7 linked regions of the Canis lupus familiaris genome follow. The protein of the gene in region 1 purifies or fractionates together with the protein of each later gene. This does not show direct contact. Links are inferred from orthologs where the notes say so. Each region holds a gene or a part of one and is shown on either strand. Other genes may lie near its edges.

Evidence for each region.
Region 2: the proteins of SRC (region 1) and KDR purify together in Homo sapiens (co-immunoprecipitation; 5 studies listed by BioGRID and IntAct, with this or other methods). This does not show direct contact. The link is inferred for Canis lupus familiaris from reciprocal best matches to the Homo sapiens genes SRC and KDR.
Region 3: the proteins of SRC (region 1) and CBLL1 purify together in Homo sapiens (affinity purification with western blotting; 3 studies listed by BioGRID and IntAct, with this or other methods). This does not show direct contact. The link is inferred for Canis lupus familiaris from reciprocal best matches to the Homo sapiens genes SRC and CBLL1.
Region 4: the proteins of SRC (region 1) and CDCP1 purify together in Homo sapiens (co-immunoprecipitation; 4 studies listed by BioGRID and IntAct, with this or other methods). This does not show direct contact. The link is inferred for Canis lupus familiaris from reciprocal best matches to the Homo sapiens genes SRC and CDCP1.
Region 5: the proteins of SRC (region 1) and PTPRA purify together in Homo sapiens (co-immunoprecipitation; 4 studies listed by BioGRID and IntAct, with this or other methods). This does not show direct contact. The link is inferred for Canis lupus familiaris from reciprocal best matches to the Homo sapiens genes SRC and PTPRA.
Region 6: the proteins of SRC (region 1) and MET purify together in Homo sapiens (co-immunoprecipitation; 4 studies listed by BioGRID and IntAct, with this or other methods). This does not show direct contact. The link is inferred for Canis lupus familiaris from reciprocal best matches to the Homo sapiens genes SRC and MET.
Region 7: the proteins of SRC (region 1) and PECAM1 purify together in Homo sapiens (affinity purification with western blotting; 3 studies listed by BioGRID and IntAct, with this or other methods). This does not show direct contact. The link is inferred for Canis lupus familiaris from reciprocal best matches to the Homo sapiens genes SRC and PECAM1.

What each region holds. Positions count from the first base shown.
Region 1 is NC_049245.1:26,566,200-26,569,699, forward strand, and holds part of SRC (proto-oncogene tyrosine-protein kinase Src), read left to right. Parts: intron 1-968; 5' UTR 969-1,129; intron 1,130-2,012; 5' UTR 2,013-2,020; coding exon 2,021-2,270; intron 2,271-3,500. UniProt on the Homo sapiens protein: Non-receptor protein tyrosine kinase which is activated following engagement of many different classes of cellular receptors including immune response receptors, integrins and other adhesion receptors, receptor protein tyrosine kinases, G protein-coupled receptors as well as cytokine receptors.
Region 2 is NC_049234.1:48,227,523-48,231,022, forward strand, and holds part of KDR (vascular endothelial growth factor receptor 2 precursor), read right to left. Parts: coding exon 3,415-3,500; intron 2,560-3,414; coding exon 2,218-2,559; intron 94-2,217; coding exon 1-93. UniProt on the Homo sapiens protein: Tyrosine-protein kinase that acts as a cell-surface receptor for VEGFA, VEGFC and VEGFD. Plays an essential role in the regulation of angiogenesis, vascular development, vascular permeability, and embryonic hematopoiesis.
Region 3 is NC_049239.1:13,089,015-13,092,514, reverse strand, and holds part of CBLL1 (E3 ubiquitin-protein ligase Hakai), read left to right. Parts: intron 1-600; coding exon 601-674; intron 675-3,171; coding exon 3,172-3,500. UniProt on the Homo sapiens protein: E3 ubiquitin-protein ligase that mediates ubiquitination of several tyrosine-phosphorylated Src substrates, including CDH1, CTTN and DOK1. Targets CDH1 for endocytosis and degradation.
Region 4 is NC_049241.1:43,687,438-43,690,937, reverse strand, and holds part of CDCP1 (CUB domain-containing protein 1), read right to left. Parts: intron 2,855-3,500; coding exon 2,633-2,854; intron 1,634-2,632; coding exon 1,253-1,633; intron 1-1,252. UniProt on the Homo sapiens protein: May be involved in cell adhesion and cell matrix association. May play a role in the regulation of anchorage versus migration or proliferation versus differentiation via its phosphorylation.
Region 5 is NC_049245.1:18,694,564-18,698,063, forward strand, and holds part of PTPRA (receptor-type tyrosine-protein phosphatase alpha), read right to left. Parts: intron 2,914-3,500; coding exon 2,764-2,913; intron 1,606-2,763; coding exon 1,512-1,605; intron 1,217-1,511; coding exon 1,140-1,216; intron 665-1,139; coding exon 530-664; intron 1-529. UniProt on the Homo sapiens protein: Tyrosine protein phosphatase which is involved in integrin-mediated focal adhesion formation.
Region 6 is NC_049235.1:55,825,270-55,828,769, reverse strand, and holds part of MET (hepatocyte growth factor receptor precursor), read right to left. Parts: intron 1,588-3,500; coding exon 1,478-1,587; intron 278-1,477; coding exon 112-277; intron 1-111. UniProt on the Homo sapiens protein: Receptor tyrosine kinase that transduces signals from the extracellular matrix into the cytoplasm by binding to hepatocyte growth factor/HGF ligand. Regulates many physiological processes including proliferation, scattering, morphogenesis and survival.
Region 7 is NC_049230.1:14,719,091-14,722,590, reverse strand, and holds part of PECAM1 (platelet endothelial cell adhesion molecule), read right to left. Parts: coding exon 3,243-3,500; intron 1,196-3,242; coding exon 920-1,195; intron 1-919. UniProt on the Homo sapiens protein: Cell adhesion molecule which is required for leukocyte transendothelial migration (TEM) under most inflammatory conditions.

The sequences.
Region 1 (3,500 bases):
GCTTCTGCTGCACAGTCAGTGCTGTGAATGCTGTACCAGGGAGCCATTGCGTAGCAGGTGCAGCCTGGAGCCGCGGGGAACTGGGTCAGTAGGACCCACGGGACACCAACAATATGAGTGCTGATATGACCCCGGTGGATTGGGTTGCCATGGAACTTGGTCTTCTTTGTCTCCAGGCTTGTTGGCCTGTCCCTCAGGAGGCCCTGGTGATCCCTTGGGCTGTTGAGCAGGTCTCCTCAGGGCCTCCCCAGCCCATTCTCTGAGCTGGATGGTCCCCAGGGAGCATGCAGGCCACGCCCACATTGTGCAGTCCGTCAGCCTGAGGGGTTCAGGGGTGCAGGAACTGGCTAAAGTTCCTGCAGGAGGAGAGCTTGCAGAGCTGGGCTTGGGGCTCAGGGCCGGTAGTCTTGCCTAAGGCCTCAACCAGTCAAGAACACTTTTCCCCATCCATGGGTTCCCAGAGGAAGTTCTGGACTGATTCCAGGGCCTGCAGCATTCCCTGGAGAATATCCCAAACCTACCTTGCCGGTATATCCAGAATCACACAGTATCAGTCATAGCGGATGTGGTGGGATGACCTGCCTCATTCCCAGCAAGAACATACTTGCCTCGTTCACTTACCATGGACCCTGATGACCCCATCATTTCCAGATGAAGAAATAGGGCACAGAGAGGTTAGGTCATTACCCTGAGGTGATATGGCCGATGAGGGTAAAGGTGGGATCTGAGTTCGGGGAGTTTGGCTCCAGAGCCCACTCTTAACCGCTGCGTCATACCCTGCCTTGCTCATGCTCATAAAATGCTTTGGGAAGGTTGATGGAAGGGAAGGTCTGGGAAGCTCTTAGCATTGGAACTGTCAGAGTCAGAGCCTGGTAAACTGGGACCCAAGACTCAGGGCCATGGTGATTTCTCTTTCTAATCATATCCATACAACAGCCTGAGAGGTCTGCCTTCTCCCTGTTTTGCAGATGAAGACGTTGAGGCCCAAAGAGGGGAAGTCAGTTGCTTAGGGTCACATAGCAGGGAGACGTGGAGCAGGGCCTCTAGTTCAAGACCCCTGACCTGGTGTTCGTGCTGAGACCTCAGGCTGCTTCCCAGACCTTCTGGGACAGCCCCTGCCTTCCCCCAGGTGAGGTGATGGCCCATCAGGGCTGCCAAGATGGGGGGCATAGGGAGGGGTGGCCGTGATGGGTGGGAAGACCCTGGCCACATTTGTTGGAAGCTGGGACCAACCAGGATCTGTGGAGTGGGAGGTAGGAGGCAAAAGGGGGTGGCGGGGCTATGGGCATCACTGGAGAGTTTTCAGTTTGTTTTTTTTTTTTTTTCTGGGCCACGTGTTATCAAGAGAGGTACAAAAGTAAGGGGGTACTTAAACCAGAAAGGATTTGGGGAACACCTCCCCATGAGGTGACTTTTGAGTTGAGAACTGAAGGAGGCATGAGTTATTCTGGTGAAGTGGTCAGGGAAGAGCATTCAGGCAGAGGGAACAGCATGTGCAAAGGCCCTGTGGCTGGGTGAGCTCCCAGACATCTCTCCTTCCAGCTTCCTCTGTATCCCTGTCTTGGCTGCAACTATTAGCACCTTTCACTCTGGTGTGAGACCATCTCAGTCAGTCATGTAATTGCTCAGCAAGCCCTCAGTGAGCCCTCTCCTATGTGTTGTATGCCTGGGATATGGCCATGACTCAGATACTGTCCCTGCCCATGACCGACAGAAACTGACTCAGGGGGAAGTGAGGGAGGTTAGGGCTTCTGATTATGAGTCATTGCTTCTGTGCCTGGCTTTGTCCCAAGGAAGCCATTTATGGGTCCCATTATTATCCCCATTTTACAGGTTAAAAAACTGAGGCTCTGAAAGTCTAACTTATCCAAAAGAGGCTGGTGCCCTTCTTTGGGCCTCGGTGTCCTCGTCTGTAGAATGGTGGGTGGGGGTGGAGGCTGTCTAAAGGGCCCGGGCCCAGCAGCCCTGCCTGCTCCCAGAGTCCTTCACCCAGTGTGCTTTCTCATCTCCAGCCAGGACCATGGGCAGCAACAAGAGCAAGCCCAAGGATGCCAGCCAACGGCGCCGCAGCCTAGAGCCAGCTGAGAACACCCACGGTGGCGGCGGGGGTGCCTTCCCCACCTCACAGACACCCAGCAAGCCAGCCTCCGCTGATGGCCACCGAGGCCCCAGTACAGCCTTCCCTTCCGCAGCTGCTGAGCCCAAGCTGTTTGGGGGCTTCAACTCCTCGGACACGGTCACCTCCCCGCAGCGGGCGGGGCCGCTGGCTGGTCAGTGGGCTTTGGGAGCGTGGGTGCCTGCGGGCCGGGCCTCTCTCGCAGCAGGGCTGTGGGTGTCTTGGGCTTGGGGACTGTTGGGGGTTTCCTGGAGACTGTGGGTGGGGAAGAGCTTTATAAACTGGACAGTGTGGTGCAAATCCCACTGCCTTTGAGAGCAAATCCAAAGTGGACAGTAACAGGGTCTAGAGATATGGGCCTGCAGAGGGGAACCGAGGTGCAGGGGGCCCCGGGGGCTGTTGGCTCAGGGCAGCATGAGGACTGGGTTTGAGGCGTTGCTTTTTGCTCTGGGCAGCCCAGCGATGGGTCAGGTCGGGAGGCCTTGGGTGGCAGAGGGGGCAAGGGAGGGCAGGAGGCAGCTCTCTGGTTCTCAGGGGCCTGGCCCAGCGCCGCGATGCGCCCCTGCGCCCTCTGCTGGCGCTTCGCGGTATGGCAGTCCCAGGCCGGGGATGCTCACGGAAAGATGCCAACGTGGTCTCAGAGACACACAGCTGGAAGACACTCACACAAACACGTGCATTCTTCCCTCGACACACTCAGGGCCACACACACAGCAGCTCCTAAGATACCTATGCAGACCCTTGAACGAGATGAGCTGGAGACACCATCAAAGATGAGATACTCATAGATACACTGTGGACATAGAGACCCACTTAGGGACACATGGACGGGCACAGACATGCAACCAGGCAGATGTACGCAAACACAGACACACACGCACAGATAACCTCGTACTCCCAGATGAAGACACACACACAGGCAGTCAGAAGCCCCTCAAAGACACACACAGGGTACGGACAGGTTCAGCTAGGAGCACCATCACGGATACCCACAGGTTCACAGATGTACATACACACAGTGAGAACACACAGACGCACGGACACACAGGGACACTCACGGATGCCTTAGATACAGACACATACCCGAGTGAGACACAGACCCACAAACACACCCATTCATTTGTGATGCCCGTACTGTGAGCCAGGACTCTTCTGGTGCTGGGGACACAGCAGTATGCAGAGCATGGGGGAGAAAAACAGAGCAAGGCTCGTAAAATGTGTAGGCTGCTCGAAGGCGGTGCTGCCGTTGAAGGAGCAAAAAGGGCAGGGGGGGTCTTGGGGGGTATGGGGTGAAGGTTGTGGTTAAAATGGGGGACAGAGGGATCTCTTTGAGGGCACAGTACCTGGAACTGAGCTCTCCCCCAATACACCCAGTCACACAGAC
Region 2 (3,500 bases), on another chromosome or scaffold:
GATTCCCAGATGTGGTGCATGAAACTTCAATGGTTTCACCAATACTTGTAGTCTGATTCTCCAGGTTTCCGGTGATCATGGGCGCCACGCGCTCTATGCAGACACACACACACACAAAAATCACACAACATTCAGTTATAACTTTTGAAATGGTTTTAGCATCAGTTAACTGATAAATAGTTTAAACTTAGTAAACAGTAAGCCACTGATTTCCTAAGCTGCAAATACACAGAGGTTGATGACAATACCATTGGTCACCAGGTAAAGTCAAATGAAACAGGTCAGGACAGTTGAGATAAGTCACTGCTCCTCTATGAACATTCCTATTAGTGACTCTAGTTGATTGTCACATCACAAAATGAAGGTTGTCACCTTTATGGGTTTTTCCTAATTAGACACGGCTTCCCCCAAGGGGAAACTTTCCCTCCCACGAAAGTTCCAGCTAGTGACACCCTTGAAGTTTGCCATGTTTCTCTTGGAAAGTGCGAAACTTCAATGTAATTCAACAAAGAATACCTTATATTTATTTGGCTTTTTTTTTTTTTTTTTTTTTTTTTTTACAAAACTCAGTTATACTATCTCTGTTGCTCACTTTCAACCCTGGAATGGACAAGAATATTAACCTTATTTCACAGAGGAAAGAACTGCAGTTCATGGGGCAGGGGGGGTGGGTAAATGATTCATCCAAGTCCTTATAACTAAGTAAGCATTTGACCTAATAATAGAAACTGGTGAGACTGAAAGCCTAGTCCAGTGCCATTCCCACTAAAACACAAAAGAGCAACACAGAAATCCCTAAAGAAAGTCAAAGATCTCAAGAAAATTAAGCCCACGAGTATTTCTTTCAATGTATAGCAAAACTTTCAAAATATAGAAATATTTTGTCCACAGCAATCAAATGGAATCTTGCTGAAAGAATCCACTTCAATATTTAGCAAAACGAGATTACCTCATTGGTGAACTACATTAGGGCTTAACAAATATCCTGGGCTCTGGTCTGTTTCTAAGAATAATTTTAGGAAAACAACTTAGGAGCTCTTAGAAAAGCAAAGCAGCTCATTGTGAGCACAAATTTCCTGGGCATGGCCCCTTCACATCTCTCTCTGAATTCTTCCACTAATTTGAAACCAGACAGTCACCAAGGTGAACAGAAAACACATGGCCATGTATGTGATATGATATGAAGGGCCCTGGCAATGACTTCACCCTAAAATATTCCTTCTTTTGACACCTAAGTCTTAACACCAGCAAATACTATCCTAGGGTCTGTCTGAAGATACCTCTTAAACTTGCCAAGGCCTCTGAAGAAGATATTATTCCTCTAAAACTTTGGTATAGATTCATTCACCTGGGCAGTTTGTTGCCCTTCTTAAGAGTAAAATCAGAGAACACATGCATCCCAGAAACTGGGAAGGGACACTCATGAGGGGAGAAAATGGAGAGAGTGGACACAAAGAGAACTTTCCAGATCTGTCTCATTTCCCCAGAGACAGAGGCATGGCTGCACAGCTCCTGTGCAGGACACGGGTTTAGATGAGGTGTGGAGAGTGGCTCCCTGGGGCATTTTACAAAGCTATCAGCTCATTAAAATGATCATCCCATTGATCCCTACGTTGGACTACATGGGATGACCCAGAGGTGCAAGCTGTGAGTGCAGCACCCCTCCCACGGGCTCTCCCAGGTCCTAAATAACTCTTCATGCAGCAGATGCCTTCCTGAGCACCTACTATGTGCCACTATGTTCTGTGATGCGAGCTACAGCAAGGAGGAAGAGAAAACAAATCCCATCCTCATGGACACAAAGACCACAATGTGCCATGGCTGCCCCGTGGTTGCCTGTGTTTTCATCTTGTCTACCTACTTACCATTGTGAACTTCTGGAACCTTCTTAGCTCATAGTAGGCATTCCATGAATACGTGTCTACTAAAATAAACAAATGCCAAGGATAAAGCAGGAATTTCCCCAGTTTAAGCTAATCTCTTGTAGATAATAGTGAAGTCCTATCATTAGAGCTAGAAAGGAACATGTTATTTTCTCTTTTTAATACATCACTTCACCACTATTGGCCTCTTTCTGCCTCCAGAACATTCGGTGAATAAGGCAAGTGTGCACCAGTCTACTTCCTATGCTCCTATAGGACAGTGATCTTACAGTCCCTAAAAGTACCACATTGAAGGCTTTCCAACTGTCTTTGATGACCAAAATTGCCTCCTTACCTAAAACTGTGAGCTGTCTGACCACACAATGTCTTTTCTTGGTCTTCCTGTCCTGAGCGAAGCACACATAGTCTCCTTGGTCCTGCAAGGACACATTCTGGAGCTCCAGGATCAAAATGTCACTTGTGCCATTAGAGAACGTGGTGGCATTCATTCTCCAAAGAGCATCCAAGTTCTTGCAAACAGGTGTGGGCACCTCTCCCGCATGGACTGCCAGAGCCTGTGGGCCAGACTTGTACCACGTGAGGTTCTCAAACGTAGTTCTGTCTGCAGTGCACCACAAAGACACGCTCTCCTGCTCGGTTGGCTGGGTGTCCGGTTGCAAAGTGATTTCAGGGCCCCCTGAAATATAAAACCTACGGTTAGAAAATGGTGATTTAATTTGGGCAGCACACTATTGTCTTCCTGTTGCCTTCAGACTGCTGTAAAGCACCAAGAGAAGTGAAGCCCTAGCAATCCCAGCAAAGGAATACAAGGAGACTACCAAACTAGACAGTTCGGGCTCCAAAATGTATTATTTTACCAAGATGCATTCCTCAGATACGTATCAAGTCTCTACTTTGGGCTCAAAACACAGCTTTAGAGATTAAAAAAAATCCAAAACATATTGAAAGCAGATAATTATACCAAGGAACTTTAAAAATTAGTTCCTCATTGACACATCACACTCAATGACACTGAAGCTATATTTATGACAACAAATTAGCCCGCACTGAACTCTTGACCACCTAGTCCGGTCAGCTAAAGCTTAACCATAAAATTAAGATGCACAATCAGAATCAGCAGCACTGGGCAGAAACTGCCTCTGTGTCATTGCAATTGCCTCCGGAAAACCCAACACTGTCAACAGCTCAGCAGCAAGCCCACCAATACTGATGGAACCCCAAGAAGCCAAGCGCTGTGCTAGACTAGGATGGTGGAGCCATAACCGTGATGCAGGATTTGTGGCTAAAAAAATATGCAAAACCATCCTCTCCCCTGAGGGAATGGGAGAGTCAGTTCTACCGACTTCCCACGCACCCAACAGCTAGCTGAGGAGTCTTCATTTATGAACCAAAGCATCCCCAATCAGCCCAAGTCCTCTTCCGAAACACCATGCCACTCCGGAATGGCAAGGGCCACAGAGCATCAGACAGCCTAGTGCCCCCTTGGCAAGAGATCTAACCCCCCCCCCCCCAAAGGGAGAGCAATACTCACTGATCACGTGGAAGGAGATGACCCTCTCTCCTCTCCCAACTTTATTGACGGCTTCGCATTTGTACAAAGCTGACACATTGGCTGCT
Region 3 (3,500 bases), on another chromosome or scaffold:
TTTTTGTTTCCCTTGTCATAGATTCATTGATCATATAAGCATGGGTTTACTTCTGGGGTCCCAACTCTGTTTCATTCATCTGTGTCTGTTTTTGCCAGTACCATAGTTTTGATCACTACAGCTTTGTAGTATAGTTTGAAACCTGGGCTTGTGATACCTCCAACTTTGTTCTTTCTCAAGATTGCTTTGGCTGTTTGGGGCCTTTTGTGGTTCCATACAAACTTTAGGATTTTTTGTTCTAGTTCTGTGAAAAATTACATCGAATCTGTAGATTGCTTTGGATAATCTGGGCTTCTTCACGTGCTTTACATCCTAGGAACCACAGGATGAAAGTCGTAGCATTTATATTTCCAGAAAGTGTAAGCAGATGCACATGTATACGTTTATTGAGGAAAGAGCCAAAGGTTTCATTATATTCTCAAAGTGTTTTGTTACTGAAAAAGGTTAACTGTTGCTTTTCTGTAACTAGTACTTAATGTTTATTTTGATGAATAGTTCTCAGGTGCCTTCTATGTCTAGGTTATTGTGCTTATGGTTATTTTTTATGGAAATATTTTACATTCTTGTATGCTAATACAACTAATATGTCTCTGTTCACAGATTCCATGCAAGCATGTTTTTTGCTATGACTGTGCTATTTTACATGAAAAAAAAGGAGATAAGATGTGTCCAGGGTAAGATTATCATTACATTTTTAAATAATAAAGTTTGTGATGAGATGAATTGTAATCTAGGTTAAAGGCCTGGGTATGATATAAGTCAGCAGCAGGATATCAAATATGCAGACATGGCTGATCTTTCTTTGTGAGCCCAGAGTTGGCCATAGCCTTCTCCTTAGGATAGGGCTAGATAGCTATTTGTCAATTCAGATTGGCCAAAACAAACAACATTTGTCATCACAAAATTACTATTATAAATGAGAACAGTTTTGTTTTGTTTTATTTTGTTTTGTTTTCTGATGGGATACGTGAGAGATAGTATCAAGCAGTGATTGAGAACAGGGACTTTGGAATTAGAATTCTTGGCTTCAAATCCCTTTTCTGACATTTATTAGCTATGTCCCTGGTTGTTTCTTCATCTGTAAAGTGGAGCTAATAATAATATCTACCTCCCTGTGTTGTTGTTAGAGCTAAACTAGTATATATATAGTACCTTACATTTGATAAGTACTGTGTTAAGTATAAGTTATTATTTATTACCTCGAAATCTTATTATTTATGTCTGGAGTATTATATCTTAGAACACGATCGTGGCATCAGCTCAGATAAGTTAATGAAGAAGATCTAGAGGTATTGGTTGCTACTGATCTGATTTGGGATGATCTTGAGAGATCCAGAATAAGGAATTTTTATATCAGTTTAGAATCCCTGATAGAAGGCTAAAGAAAGCTTTGAGACAAACTTCCTTGGGACAACTGTAAGCTGCTGAGATTTTATAACCTGGGTCAGAAGCTATCCCAAGATTGGTAGTATTGGTTGATAACAGAATTACAGATAGTTCCAGGATGATTTCTTTTTTTGGTGTAGGAAGATTGGCATCACTGAGAGAGAAGAGATGATTCAATAAGTATTCTAATATTAATATTTAAAAAGGAATTTAGGTTTCAAGATATTAAGTGTAACTCCTCAGTAAGTACCTCACTAGTTAGCCCTTAGCTATTTGAGAACATAAGCCTATCTGGCTTAACAGACTCAGGTCAGGAAATGAAGAAATGGCAACCCAAGTTATATAAATATCATACACTGTTGCTTTTAAGCATCACCCAAAACAAAGTACCTTATATCCTGTTACTGTAGAGATATTTCTGAGTTTACAGCAAATTAGGAACAAGAAATGGGAACTGTGCCGAATGGGACTAAAGGGAAGCCTGCTAGGATCAAGGAGTGCCAGTCTTACAGCAAGGACGGAAATATGGACACAACTCAAAATAAAAAATATAGAGCCATTTAATATAATTTCAAAGGACCTGACACACATATTCAGTGATCATAGCTTGTGTCTCTGTATATGTAGTACTTAACTAGTGATTCAATTCTGTCACTTTCATTGTTTCCTTTATCCTAAGGATATTCTTTAAGGTAGGGCAAAATAGAAAAACACTGTGAGTTAGGTGGAATGCATGTTTTAACCCCATATTGCAGATGAAGAAATAAGCAAAAAGATTAAGTGACTTTTCCAAGATTACAGAGCCAATGCTTGACCTCATTTCTTCTGATACCTAGTTCAGTCCTCTTTCCACTATTTCCAACAGACTACAAAGGCAAATGTGGATTAAATACAGTGAATGAAAAAGAGTTGTAATTTTGACCCTGAGTCTTTAAGAAAATACTGAGTTAAATTTAGTGCCTACAGTTTAGAAAGGAGTGTTTAGTATTTTTTTAGTAGTGAAATTGTCTGGTAACTCTTCCTTAAGGGACTCTTGATAGTTTGAATTTAAATTGTTCACATTGTTTAATATTAGGAACCCTGATAACTGGGATGATCTTACTAATTTCTGTAGTCCTTGCGGTATCTTTTACTTAGTGTTATTTGCTCAGCACATACTGACTGCTCAATAAATACCATACAGGTTTGAATTCTAGGACTATGACAGATCTTTGGTTTAACCTTTCTGGATATTTTTGCAAATGGATGTAAAGCGTAGAGTTCTTTGAGACAACAAGATCATTCTAGGCCTTAGGAAGAATGGGTCTCTTTTTAAAACCTAATCTGGGGATCCCTGGGTGGCGCAGCGGTTTAGCACCTGCCTTTGGCTCGGGGCGCGATCCTGGAGACCCGGGATCGAATCCCACGTCGGGCTCCCGGTGCATGGAGCCTGCTTCTACCTCTGCCTATGTCTCTGCCTCTCTCTCTCTCTTTCTCTCTCTCTGTGACTATCGTAAATAAATAAATAAATAAAATTAAAAAAAAAAAAACCTAATCTGTTTGATGAGCACTTCTCATTTTTTCTTCAGAGTTCTGAGGTTGGTAGAAATGCTGATGCTTAATAGGGAACAGACCGCAGAATGGGAGAGAAGTTAAGGGTTCACTTTCTGTAACTATAACTTTTAATTGTGAACTTCTGCAATATTTTCCACAACTGGTTTTTAAAAACAGGCCTATTTGTGAAATTATGTGCATTGTCTTTGTAGTTTGCTTTTAGTAAATCAGTTTTTTCCCCTTCTAATTTAGCTGTAGTGATCCTGTGCAGCGAATCGAGCAGTGTACACGAGGTTCTCTCTTCATGTGTAGCATTGTTCAAGGGTGCAAGAGAACATACTTGTCTCAGCGAGACTTACAGGCTCATATCAACCACCGCCATATGAGAGCTGGAAAACCTGTTACCCGTGCTTCACTTGAAAACGTTCATCCTCCTATTGCTCCACCACCAGCTGAAATCCCTGATCGTTTTCTGATGCCGCCAGATAAGCACCACATGAGCCATATCCCGCCAAAGCAGCACATCATGATGCCGCCACCTCCTTTGCAACATGTGCCACACGAGCACTATAATCAGCCAC
Region 4 (3,500 bases), on another chromosome or scaffold:
AGCCACTGCCATGTGTGTCTGTAGAAGACCCAAAATGTGCTTGACAGAGGAGCTACATTTTTAATTTTGTTATTAATTTAAACATAAATTGCCACACGTGGCTAGTAATTGTTGGTCAGCACAAGGTGAGAGTCTCAGGTTAAGTGCTCAGGTCTTTTGAACAAAATCGATCAACCAACCAACCAACCAACCAACCAAAAAAAATAACCCAAGGCTAGTTTGCCAAACCGCTGGTTATTTCTGAAAGCTTCCTTTCAGAAACGCCCTCGACATAGCTAACATCTACCTGATGCTCTGCTCTACAGTGGGACTGGTAGGGACTGGTTTCTGTTTCAGAGATTAAATCACTTCCGGTTCTGGGAAGAACAGAATTGCAAAGCAAAAGACCCCCAACATGTCACCTGACCTTCCGGTGAGATCAACTCCAACAGTCTACACTGAGGAAGGTATGTCTTGTTTTCAAAGACTCCCCAGGAGGAGTTCTTTGGGTAGCTGCAGAGATATCAGGCAGCCTGGACTAACCTTAATCTTATGGCCAAAGAATTCTTCCCTCCCCACTAAGGCCTCTGGGAACAAAATCTGAAGTAAACCTCAGATAAAAGTCTTGGTCAATTTTTAAGTGGCCTCTGACTTTGAGCAACTTGTAATGGCAACTGTGACTTTGAAAACCAACCATAGAGAGCTTCCCGTTGCAAAGGATTTAGATCCCATTGGCTGCCCAGCACCCTGAAGATCAAACACTTGCTTGGCAGGAGGGGCTGTGTTTCTTTGCTGGGAACAGGACCCTGGCACTCTGGAGACCCATCTCTCCCCCACCTGCCTTCCTCTGTGCACTCCACACCACCTTCCGAATGGTCAAAGTGGACTCACAGAAATGCCTGCATAAGGATTTTTATGCTCCCACCTTAAAAAATCCAAGATTCGGGAATATCTGGTTAGCTCTCATGTATGCCCCTGCCTGCTTCCAAAAAAGGCTTGAACCTGATTATTTGTTCTGCTGCTGCCAACTGTCACCTCCCACTTTCAGAGTCTTATTTCTGACTCCTGGGATTTTTCCACAGTAGGTTAATGGAAGAGTTGGGATGAGGATGCACCATCTTGTGAGAGGACCAACCCACTCATCTCTCCCTACTCTTCAAGTTGACAGCTTAATTAAGACGATCACAAAGCAAAATAAGATGGATGCCCCAAACAAGAAAGGGGCAGGAAGATGGGGAGAGAGAGAGAGAGAGAGAGAGGGAGACCTCCTTACCTTTGAAGTATGGTATAAAGGACACGGTCAGGCCCTGCCTGGAAACCTCTTGTTGGAAGTTGGGGGCAAAGGTGCGGAGGGTCACCGAGATGTTCTGCTTCACCTGGATCTGCTCGATGGAGCCTCCAGGGCAGAAGGAGCCGAAGTAAAGATCCTGGCCGGGGACGGCGCTGGCCACCAGGTAGCTGAAGCTCGTGTTGCAGAACTTCTCTTGTGTGTGCTGCTGCAGCTTCTGGGAAGGCACCAGTGCCAGGCTGAGCTTGTCCTTGGGCACCAGCAGCTTCCAGGAGAAGTCGTGCAGCTGCACAGGCAGCTGGAGGATGTCCACAGGCACTTGGAGGGAGTAGGGCCTCCTCCGGCAGTTCCGGTGGTCCAGGCAGCCTGGAAAAGAGGGGCTCGTGCTACCAGCAGGGAGGAGAGCGGGAGTGCATCCTCCCCAGCTGTAGAGACCATCCTAGACTTTCTGGCTTTTCCCTTTGGTCTCTCCCCACCCACTCTGTCCTCCATTCTCCTGGCCTCCTTCTCTCCATGCTCTTTTTCTAGCTGCCCCTCTGGCCCACCCTCTCACATTCTTATTCTGCCCTAAACTGGCAGACCAACCTCTGGGGAGTATTTAGGGTTGAAACGTTCTCTTCCTGTGTGTCAGCCTCTCTTCTCTGTATCTGAGTCTCAGATGCTAAGTATGGGCAGGGCATAGGTTTTTCCTCCACCCTGCTTCCCAGCATCCCCGACTGACTCTGGGGAGGTGGCTCTGTGCAGCAGGCAGAGCAGGGATGGAGTTGGGGAGATATCTGTCACTTCTTAGCATGGCTGGCTGTCTTGTGTCTTGTGGCCTCTGCTGCCACATCTATAGAAACTCTAAACATCCATGTCAGAGGTCATGGTGGCCCAGTGGGGAGGTGACTAGGGGTTTTGCTGCCCTCCATTCATCAAACATTTATTTCATGATTAATACATGTCCAGCACTACCAGGGGACACAGGGACAAAAAAATGAAACAAGCCACAGTCTTGACCTCAAGACTCAATCTCATGTAAGAGGAGACAAGGGCTCATTGAACATGGAAGCGGGGGTGGGGTGGGTTGGTGGGGCGGTTACACAGAGGACAGGATCTCATGAAAGATGCTGGAAGGCTAAGCAGAGGACACAAGCATGAAGTTGGAAGTGCAATGCACTTCTGAAGGACACCCGTTCCAGCTGAGGCTCTGGTCCTAGTGGGGGACGTCTCCACCTCACCATTCGCTGCTTGGTTGCCCTTGCTCACCCTGCACTGTAGGGTGCACTATTCCAACCTACTCAGCAGACCCCATTAAGAAGATAAGGCGCGGCAGGGAGATTTGCCCATGGGCCCCGGAGGACGGTGCTAACTAAGGGGACGTACTTATGGTTTTCTCGGCGTTGATCCACAGGCGAGTCAGGTTATCACAAAGGAAAGAGATCTTGTGTTTGGAGCCGGCTGTCAGGGTGAGGTTGGTGCTACAGGTCCGTGACTCCAGACACACAAAGCAGCCAGGGACAAACTTGCGGCTAAGCTTGATGGGCCGTGGCTCGATGGTAAGCGACATGGCTTGCTCGTTACTCAAGTCGACCAGGTAGATTTTATCTGAAACCACGAGGAGAAAACAGGTCTGAAGTATGGATGAGAAGCCACCCTACGAAAGGCTAAAAATTAGCACAAAACGTCTCGTGGCTGGGGAGTGTTGGAAACATGTTTTATTATTAAGAGAATGTACAAGAATCTAGAAGAAATAAATTTATTTATTATTTATTCAAAAGATTTTATTTATTTGAGAGAGAGCAAGAGAAAGAGAGAGAGAGACAGCACAAGCTGGGGAAGAAGCAGAAGGAGAGGGAGAAGCAGACTCCTCGCTGAGCAGGGAGCATGATGAGAGACTTGATCCTAGGACCCCGGGATCATGACCTGAGCTGAAGGCAGACGCTTAACTGACTGAGCCACCCAGGGGCCCCTAGAAGAAATTTAGAAAGAAAAATAATGGCCTGAATTCATTCAGGCCAAAATGAATTCAAGTTCATCTTAATCCTTGTTCATATGCATGCATATTTTCAGCTGCTTCAAAGTATGGTATATATAAAGTTTTATACTCAGCTTTTGCTTTATTACTTCACACAGGTTTACTTATTTTTCCATATAGTTTTCATATTCACAAGTCTTTGAAAATATTCAGTAATTTAGTGGCTGCGGGATAGTTAATAAGTGAGATTCACCACTGTTTATTTAAATATTCTCC
Region 5 (3,500 bases), about 7.9 Mb from region 1:
GACCCAAGAGGGCCTCTAGGGTTCCTTACATTCTGAATTCTCAGACAATTCTTTTTTTTTTTTCTTTAAAAGATTTCCTTGCTATTGAATTTTAACAGAAGAAACATCTAAGTTATTTCTCAAGTTCTTCTGTCTTCTTTTCTGTAGTCTGCAAAGAGGCCACTCATCTTCCCACAGTTCATTTTTCTGGCCTACAAGGCACCCTCTTCTTAGGGACACTCAGGAGTTCCACATTAGAGCCTTGGTCTGGCTCTGCATCCCTCGTTTCACTAGCTCTGCCCTGCCTGGGAGGTGGGAGGAGGAGGTGTGCATAAAGCTAGGCACTGGGAAAACCATCTTTAGGAGAGAAGAGGCAGGAACTGTCTGGCAGCTCAGACCGCATTGCTCTTCCAGTCCTGAGAGAAACTCCTGACTGCTCAGGTCAACTGCTTGAATATGGCTCTTTGGACAGTTTAAGCTAAACATTTCTTCTTAGCCCCTCACCTTTTCCTGTGCTGTTTCCCACAGCCCAGGACCTGACTGAGCTCACCTGTCCTCGCTCCTCCAGTTCTGTCAGCATTACGATAGAGCAGGATTTCCACTCCCAGATCATTCGCCAGAAGTCCTCAATGGTGTGGAGAAGAGGGCCCTGGCTGGCGATGTAGGAGTCCTTCTGTCGGTAGCCCTGTACAAGCCAGGTCAATGGTAGGAGTAAGGTGTTTTAATCAGGGAGGGGCTAGCGAAGAAGACAGACCACTAGGATGGGATGGGGCTGCTTGGAGGCAAACTCAACCCAGGCAGACCTCCCCTTTGGTCAAGGACCAAACCCTGTCTGACATGCTGGTCTCCTTCTACAAGGGTGGGGGAAAAGGGGACTGGGGCTGGGATGAAGAAAACAAGAATGGGAAAGGCCAGAGGCTTTCAGCCCTTGGCCATGGTCTGTGCTATGAAATTTCCCCTCAAGTTATTACTCTGGTGTGTGCCCTCTGTATTCCACATCACATTCTGTTTTCTAGGGCCTGACAGACCTAATGTGCAGGCTGGGTAAGGTTCTGTATTTGACGACGGACTCAAACACAATACTCCCACCCACTGGCACTGCAAGGCCCAGCCAAATCTCATGGAGCAGGGGCAGTCCTGGGGACACAGCCATCACTTACGTCAATGAAGGATGCATTCACGTAGTCCGTGTTCTCCTCACCCCTCTTAACTGGAATGATCACTCTGTTGAATTCATCTGCAGGAAGGACAGAAGCTGTGGCTCCCCAACATCATCTGTCCTCTCTAAATCTTTCCTTTCTCGCCAGGCCCTGGGTAGGTATAATCCCAGCTGCAATAACATGCCTGTTCCCAGCCCGAGAGAGAGAAACCTCTTGGCCTTCATGCTTTTCTCATTTCCAGAAGCCACTAAAGAACTAAGAGCAAAAAAAAGGCAGTGCCCTAATTCTGGTCTCCAAGTCGATAATGAATTAGTAACCTCAGAAGTGGAAGGAGGGAATACTAAGGCTTTGGAGAGGGGGGAGGGCTCTTACATGGAATGATCTGTAAAACCCGGTTCTTCTTCATGTTGGCTGGAAGGTTTCCAGTCCGCATCTTGTCATTCTGGATTTTGATTGATGTTAACTTCTGAATCGGGAAGGAGAGGGGAAACATTACTGATCCCTGTAACTTGGCAAGATTATGCCTGTCAGACATGGATCTTCAGGCTACTCTGATTGCATACTGTTCCTCACTGGGGCCCTGACCTCCACTTCCACATGTTCTTGCTGGAACACTATTTCTTCTGTCATAAGCTCAATGAACAAGCCAAGAGTGTTTGGGGAACACTGCCTTGTGGGCTCCTGTGGACCCTTCTGGGATTCCCCGGGACTGGAATTATATGATCCTGGAGCAAGGATCCTAGCTTCATAGGAAGGAGTGTGTCTGCCTTTCTTCTCTCCCTGCTGTTCTACCCCAAAGGCTAGCTTGGACTCTTTAGAAAATCTTATTTTCAAATGCATATGCTCCCTTCTCCTGATTCTGAGGCTCCTTTCTGATCCTTGCTACTTAAAGTGTAGTCCATAAACCAGCAATAGTCTTGTTATGTTAGTAATGCAGAATCTCAGGCCCTAAGTGTTTCCCCTTGCCAAATCAGAACCTGCATCTTAACAAGATTCTGTGGTTATTCCTGTGCATGTTATAGTTTGAGAAGAACTGCTTTAAGGGATTTGATCTTTCCCACTGCTGCCCAGAATCTCTTTGGAGAACACTTTATTGACAGAGGTGTGACATGTTCCTTAGGTGTGCTGAGAACCACTGTCTAATGGCAACAGCAGAGGTCAGCAACCACGGGCCAAATTTGGCTTGCTGCCTATAAACAGACTTTTATGGAAACACAGCCATGCTCAATTGGTTTATGTAGCATCTATGGTTGCTCTTTAAAAGTTTTAAGCAGTTGCAACAGAGACCAAACAGCCTGCAATCCTAAAATATATACTGTCTGGTCCTTATAGAAAAAGTTTAGGTTGCTGTAGATTATAATCACCTGTGTATGTGCGTGTGTGTGTGTGTGTGGGGGGGAGTGTGCAGGGTGGGTTGGGTGCCTCAGAATCACCCAAGCAATTCTAACATGCAGGATGGGTTGAAAATGACGAGGTTACGAGTAAAGGGCCAGAAACTCACCTCTTAAAACCATGCACAAGGGGATTCCCCATTTGTTGCTAAATCTCTGAGAGCCAAGCATCCCATATTCCCCAAAGCACGTGGATTCTTCAGTCTGGAAGAGGGAGTTCAGCTCCAACTCACCTTAAACTCTTCCTCTAATCCATTGTTGCTGGTCCCTGGGATTTTGTTGTAAATTTTCTGCAGATGTGTTTCTAAAGAGGTCACCTCTAGTTCTGTATCTCCATAGAGATAATGCTCCAGAAGGGCTTGGTATATGAAGACATACTGCATCTGAAATGCCACGATGCCCGAGTTCCCAGTTACACACTACATGGTCTCTGTGGTGCCAGATTTCCCCTTACCCTCAATTCACTCCAGTTCACTTCTCCTTTGCCCTTAACAAGTATAAAATTATTCACCCTTGTTGTGCCAGTTTAGTGAGGCAGGACTATAATGCATGAGTCCTCTGGGGGTGCTTAACTTGGGAGGGAGGGTCCTACTCTGGCAGCCTCCTAGGGCAGAAGCCTGAAGATAAGGACAAATCCAATTCCTGCTCATTCTGACAGTATAGTCTGAAGGGGTTGTCTAAATCTGGTGACACACAAAACCTGTGCCAGCCTCCGGTGCTGCGCCCTTTGTACCCCATGCCTCAACCACAGAGCTGATCCTACTGCTGCTCTTGGATATGGTTGAGCTGAGTCACACCTTCGTGGGCACTGGTTTTCTCAGCTGCCTGCACGTGTGCTTCTCTCAGGACCTGTTTCGTGTCCTTAGAGTCTAGTGCAAATGACACCTGCCTCCCAACTCCAGTAGGTGTAACCTCCCCTGTGCTCTATGTCTCTTTAACACAATTCTTAAGAGTCCTTCATCACACTGCA
Region 6 (3,500 bases), on another chromosome or scaffold:
AGTCGTGTGGAATGCTTCCTTTTTTTGAAAAAAATTAAATTGCCATAAAACTACTATGAATGTTGGGTATGAAAGTAAAAGAGGAGAGGTCAGGGATGATCAGTACGTTACCACATCTGACTTGGTGGTAAACTTCTGAGTTTGCAGACTTTCTAAAGCCATCCACTTCACTGGTAGTTTGGCGCCTGTTTTGTTGTGTACGCTGTAGTATTCTTTATCATACATGTCTCTGGCAAGACCAAAATCAGCAACCTTGACAGTGAATTTTTCATCCAGCCTATAGAAAGGACAAAAATTATTACTGGCGCCTGAAATAGAATAATTTACAGTGATGCTGACTATCTATAGGTAGCAACAGGGACTTCATATTCAAAATCTGTAGCTTCTGCAGAGTGGGCTTCATCTGGCCTCTACTGATCAACACTAAATTTCAATGGGAATTCTTGAACAAAAATGCTCGACATTTATATCACAAATTCAACAGGCCAGGCAAAGAGATCAATGAATGATGTGGCATGAGAAAATCTCTTGCTTTAATTGCTCTTTTGTTGGCCCCCCTCCTAGCTTTCCTTTGTTGCTAAATCAAGTTTGCCAATTGACTACCACAAGCAATCGCAGATCTTCCCTTGTTATCTTACTAGTAATACTCAGTTTTATGGGGGAGAGATGACACAGGACTGTTAGTCTACCATTTCTTTCACAAATGGGCTAGGGTATTACAGAAAATTCACATATCCCACCACGGAGATAACAGAAAAATAGGATACACAGTAAAGCATCCGATGAACACAGCAAGCAAGGCTCAACAAAAATCAATTTCCGCTATCTGAGGCTATGCATCCTTTGTTTAAGCTGGCTTTTATGTTGTTACACTGACCAAAACCAAGGTAGGAAATTAATAGCAGAGCTCTCTCATTCACACATACCATAAGTCATGAATCAGTGCTATGTGAGGAAAGCACTGAATCCATTACAAACTGTTGACTGTTGAATTATACAGCCCAGGCAGCCAGACACAAATAAAGCTCTTTGTATATTCATTCCCAAATACCATTTTTGGTAGGGCTTCTGCAGGCTGACTTCAAATCCAGTCTTAGGAAGTTGCAATATGTTGGTATTTGTGTTACCGGCCTTCTCCTTTTCACTGTAAAATGCTGAAGATCAAATTCTCCCTCCCTAACACTAATGCAGTGTGAAACCACAACACTGGGGGCTACTGGTGGGAAGGGAAAAGAAAAGCAAAAGCACACAACAGCTGTTTAAGACCCCCTCTGGAGAATTCCTTTTAAATTCTCCATTTGATAAAGCCTGAAAGCCCCGCCTACCTCCCCAGTGCTTACATTTTGATTTAAAACTGTAAGGGAAATAAAGGACTTTTGCATAAGAAGAGAAAACACCCTCACTAGTTTCAACAGTGGGAAACAGATTCCTCTTTGTCACTTAATTTGGACTGTGGCACATAGATTCTTATACTTACATACAGTTTCTTGCAGCCAAGTCTCTGTGGACAAACTTTTTGCTTGCAAGATATTTCATGCCTTTGGCTACTTGAAGACCAAAGCCAATAAGATCTTTTACAGTTGGGTTCTGCAATCAAAGAGAATTGAAAAAGCATAAGCGAAGTATCTAATGATCTAACGATGATCTCAGAATTCTGAAATGTTTATAAGAATTATCTTGTTTCAAACAATAACTTGTGCCTTGTTGATAACAGCAGTCATTTATTAGATATTTGCATCTGTTATTTGCAAAGTACCAGGCTAGATGCTTTTGTGAATTTTGGCTAATCCTTATACACTTCTGTAGGGTGGATTCCATTTTCCAGATGGGGAAATGGAAATGTTTTTAAATTATTTTGGTGTGGTGGGGCCAACAGATGGAAGACCACTGCTATTGAAGAGGTAGCTAGTTATTGACAGTTCCCAAGAGGAGGGGACATGCGCCGCGCCAAGCAAGGCCACACAGGGAAGTACAACGGTTGGCCTAGGAGGCAGAGGGAGCAAGAAGAAAACATAGGCAAGAGCTTGTTTTGTAGTTTCTGAGGCAGGGTTAGCAGATTTAGGACTGGCTACTTTGAATAATTTCAGCAGGTTCTGGGGCGGTAGAGGCTATCTGCAGTCATCTGGTACCTGGCCCTGAAGTGATTACAGCGGGTGGATAGTGTCTCAGTGTGTGAGAGTTTTTTAAAGGATGTGATTGGGGTTGGTTTGCTTATGAAAGGCCTGTTCTTTGAAGGTGAGTTGTTTACTATCCAGGAATTTGCTAGTTCTGAAAAGGGCAGTCCCTCCAAGGTCCACAAGGAACCAGAAGTCAGAGCATCAGAAATACATGTTTAACCTAAAATTCCTATGGAACCACAAAAGACTCCAAACAGCCAAAGCAATTTTGGAAAGTAAAGCAAAGCTGGTGGCATCACAATTCCGGACCTCAAGCTCTATAACGAAGCTGTAGTCATCAAGAGAGTATGGTACTGGCACAAAAACAGACACACAGATGGATAGAATAGAACAGAAAACTCAGAAATGGACCCTCGGCTGTATGGTCAACTAACCTTCGACAAAGCAGGAAAGGATATCCCATGGAAAATAATCTCTTCAACAAATGGTGTTGGGAGAATTGGACAGCCACATGCAGAAGAATGAAACCAGAGCACTTTCTTAAATCAGACACAAAAATACATTCAAAATGGATGAAAGACCTAAATGGGAGACAGCAAACCACCAAAATCCTAGAGAACACAGGCTGCAACCTTTTTGACTTTGGCTGTAGCAACTTCTTACTAGACATGTCTCCGGAGGCAAGGGAAACAAAAGAAAACATGAACTCCTGGGACTTCATCAAGATAAAAAGCTTCTGCACAGCAAAGGAAACAACAAAACTAAAAGGCAACCAAAGGAATGGGAGAAGATATTTGCAAATGACGTATCTGATAAAGGCCTAGTATTCAAAGTCAGTAAAGAACATACCAAACTCACCCCAAAAATAATCCAGTTAAGAAATAGGCAGAAGACATGAATAGATATTTTCCTGAAGGAGAGATCCAGATGGCTAACAGACACATGAAAAGATGCTCAACATCACTGATCATCAGGGAAATAGAGATCAAAACGACAATGGGATCCCATCTCACACTTGTTGGAATGGCTAGAATTAACGACACTGGAAACAACAGGTGTTGGTGAGGATGCAGAGAAAGGGAAACCCTCTTACACTGTTGGTGGGAATGCAAACTGGGGCAGCCACCCTGGAAAACCGTGTGGAAGTTCCTCAAAAAGCTAAAACTAGAACTATTCTGTGACTCAACAATTGCACTAATAGGTATTTATCCAAAAGATACAAAAATACCGATTTGAAGGGGCACATGCACCTGCTTATAACAGCATTATCAACAATAGCCAAATTATGAAAAGAGCCCAAACACCCGTTGACTGATGAATGGATAAAGAAGTTGTTATATATATATATATATATAGCCTCTCTCCCTCTCTGTGTCTTTCATG
Region 7 (3,500 bases), on another chromosome or scaffold:
TGGAAGTCGAATGGACCTGAGGATAACTTTTGTTCTACCATCTGGTAATCCTGTAATTTCTGGGTGAGTGACCTAACACCTCAGCCTTAATTTCCACATCCATAAATGCAGAATCATGACACCTATCTCATAGCATTGTTATAAGCATGAAATGAAAATGTATATAATCCAGTCATATAGTGTTCAACAAAAGGGAATTGTTACTATTGTTTTTTCATTTATTAATGCTTTCTCACTCCTGACCCTATCTTAGGACCTATGTCTGGGATCTAGGCTAGTGCTTGGCACATAGGAAAGATAAATGTGGTATAATAATAGACATGTTAACTAACATTCACAGAGTGCTTCTTCCGTATGAGGCTCTTTATTTTTTTTTTTTAAATCTTTATTTATTTATGATAGTCACACACAGAGAGAGAGAGAGGCAGAGACACAGGCAGAGACACAGGCAGAGGGAGAAGCAGGCTCCATGCACCGGAAGCCCGATGTGGGATTTGATCCTGGGTCTCCAGGATCACGCCCTGGGCCAAAGGCAGGCGCCAAACCGCTGCGCCACCCAGAGATCCCCGTATAAGGCTCTTTATAGCAGAGCCACATCACTTAGTCATTGTAACAGTCCTATAGGTGACTGCTGTCATTATCCCCATCTCATAGATCTGTGCCACAGAGAAGCTCAGTAAGTCACCTAGTAATGAGTGACAGTATTGGGATTTGATGCCAGAACTTGCACACTCAACCACCACATTTAACTGCTTACTGGCTCAGCATTGACTTTTTCACTTGAGCACCACAACCCCATTTGAGTACATCATTCAGACAAGCAGGAACAGAACTATCAGCCCTCACTGGCCATTCTGGATTCCAGCATGGTGACTGCTTAAGCCCATCATATTCCCACACCCTCCAGCAGCAGCCCTACCTGTTATGTTGACCACGATGCTGCTGACCTTGGATATCCGGCTGGCTTCCACTTTGCATGTGTAATTGCCATTGTGCTCCGCCATGGCCATCACTGAGTAGGTGGCTTCGTTACCATGCCTCTTGTGTGCTACAATTGCCTTGTCCTTCTGGATTATGATTTCTGGAAATGCTTGGACCAGATGTGTCACTTGAATGGTGCACCTAATGTAGAGCTGATCTCCTTCTGTGATCACTCCTTCGGGGCTGACGTGGAATTTGGGATTAGAGAAGGATTCTACAAGAAGAGGATAAACTGGTTGGACTCAGGCTCAAATCTGGACAAGAGGAAGAGGCACTTATGTCCTCCCCCCTTTTTTTTAATCTTTTTTTTTTTTTTTGCCAATTACTGTCCTTCCTTATTAATTAAAAAAAATTGAAACTTTCCTCTCAAAAACCTTCTCTTAAGTTGCTCTAATGCTCCCTCCCATCTTACTCTTTAATAAGTTTCAGGTGTGAATCACGAAACTGAGATGCCAAAAGGAAAAAGATGGATAGGTTTGATTATACAGAGATGAAACACTTCTGCTTGAAAAGCTTATAAAATAAAGACAAATGACAAATGACAAACTTGGGCAAATATTTGCACAGTACTCAACAAAGAGTTAATGCCTTTAATTTATAAAGGACTCAAACAAATCAATCAGAAACAGTAAAAATGGGCCAAGTGCATACGAGCAGGCAGTTTATGGGGGGAAATGTAGTAATTGGTCAATCAACACAGAGAACATACTCGACCTCAGTAAAAGCCAAAGAAATACAAATCACAAGAACAACAATATATCACTGTGCCTCAATTAGATTGACAAAAAAATAATGAAAGTAGATAATACTCTGAGAGCAAGGTTGTGGGAAAATAAACACTAGCATCACTTTTGATGGACATGTTCAACCAATCTGAGGAGTGCTTTGGTAATACATATCAATATTTAAAATGCACAAACATTTGAATCAACAACTTGACTACCAGAAATCAATGTCATAAATAATAATGAAATAAAATATTTGCAAAAGTACAAATGATAAGTGTAAGTGTGTGTATTCCAGGGTTGTTTTAATAGCAAAAAATTAGGAAAATACCCAAATGTTTACCACTGGAAAAATAATGGTACTAGTAAATTATGGTACATACCTATAATAGGATTCTGAGGTACCACGAAAAAAAAAGACCTACATCTGTATTCCTTGATACAGACAAAAGTTTGTAACATATTGATAAGTTAAAGAAAAGTTATAAAACAGTATGTTGGTCAGGTTGTGTTTTTTGTAAAAACAAAGAAAAACAAACAAAAATTGTGTGCGTGCATGAATGTATAAGCAGAACCAGTCTGGGACCTACAAGTGATTTTCTCTGAGCAGTGGTACTATGAATGATTGTCACTTTATCCTTTACATTGTGCCATATTTTCTGAAAACTGAACCCACACCATGTATTATAATCAGAAAAATATTACATATACATAATTTCATACCTGTATATATGTGTGTGTGTGTATATATATATATACACACACACACACACACACAATGGGCAGAGGTGAAAATAGGTACCAAAAGCAGAAGGGTATTTATGACAAACTTTGAGGCTCCTATAGAAAAGACTTGAGGCTATCTGCACTAGAGTGTGCCTTCCCTTGACTCTTCTCGGCTCACGAGTCCTTGTCCCATTCTGCGGGTTGCCTGTCCTGGAGCTCTCTTGATCCTGGATACACAGTCCCAGGCTTCCCTCTGCTATTGTCTTTCTCACTCCAGAGCACTCCTCAGGCCACCTCATTTATTTCTTATTTGTCCAACATCTTGGTGATAAGGGGTGGGTAGAAGAGGGGAGTCTTTTATCAAATGTGGGAGGCAAAGGCGGAGGACCTGAACTCCCTTCCCTCCCTATCCCCTCCAGACTCCACCTCCTGGTGTCTGACCCAGGCTTGGGGGTTGTTGGCTTAAAGCCATGATTTCCAAGCTGCAGGTTACACAATGCATCATTTCACGGAGTCATGGCCAGTGTTTTAAAAAACTGAAATACAAACGAATAGAAAATGGCAAAATGCCTCATATATTAAGTATTATTTGAGAAACTTTTGTTTGGGAAATTTTACATGTACACACAAACACACATATACACACATATATTTTAAACTATAAACATAGCCTTGAAGTGGTTAAGAACAGTCTTGAAAACAGAAGCCCAGCCAGAAGGCCCCACCCCCCTTCCTGATTTCTGGGGTCTTTCTCCCCATCCCAAACCAGCAAGGCAGAAAGAGTGATAAAAAGGAGAGTAGGACTCTAACCCGTCACGGTGACCAGTTCACTCTTGATGGCTCTAGAGGTCTCCATGTGGGTCCCAGAAATGATCCTGGCTTGGCACTGGAAAAATATAACGTGGTCCTGTTCCTCCACTGTGAACTCCAGCATCATGAAATTCCGGTTGGGAGAAGTTTTTTCTCTTTTTTGCTTGAAACCTTTCGTATCTAGTTTGAGTTTTTCAATTGTGAAATGTATCGGGGGCTTTTCCTCTGGGACAGAACAATTGACCTTCACGACCCCGC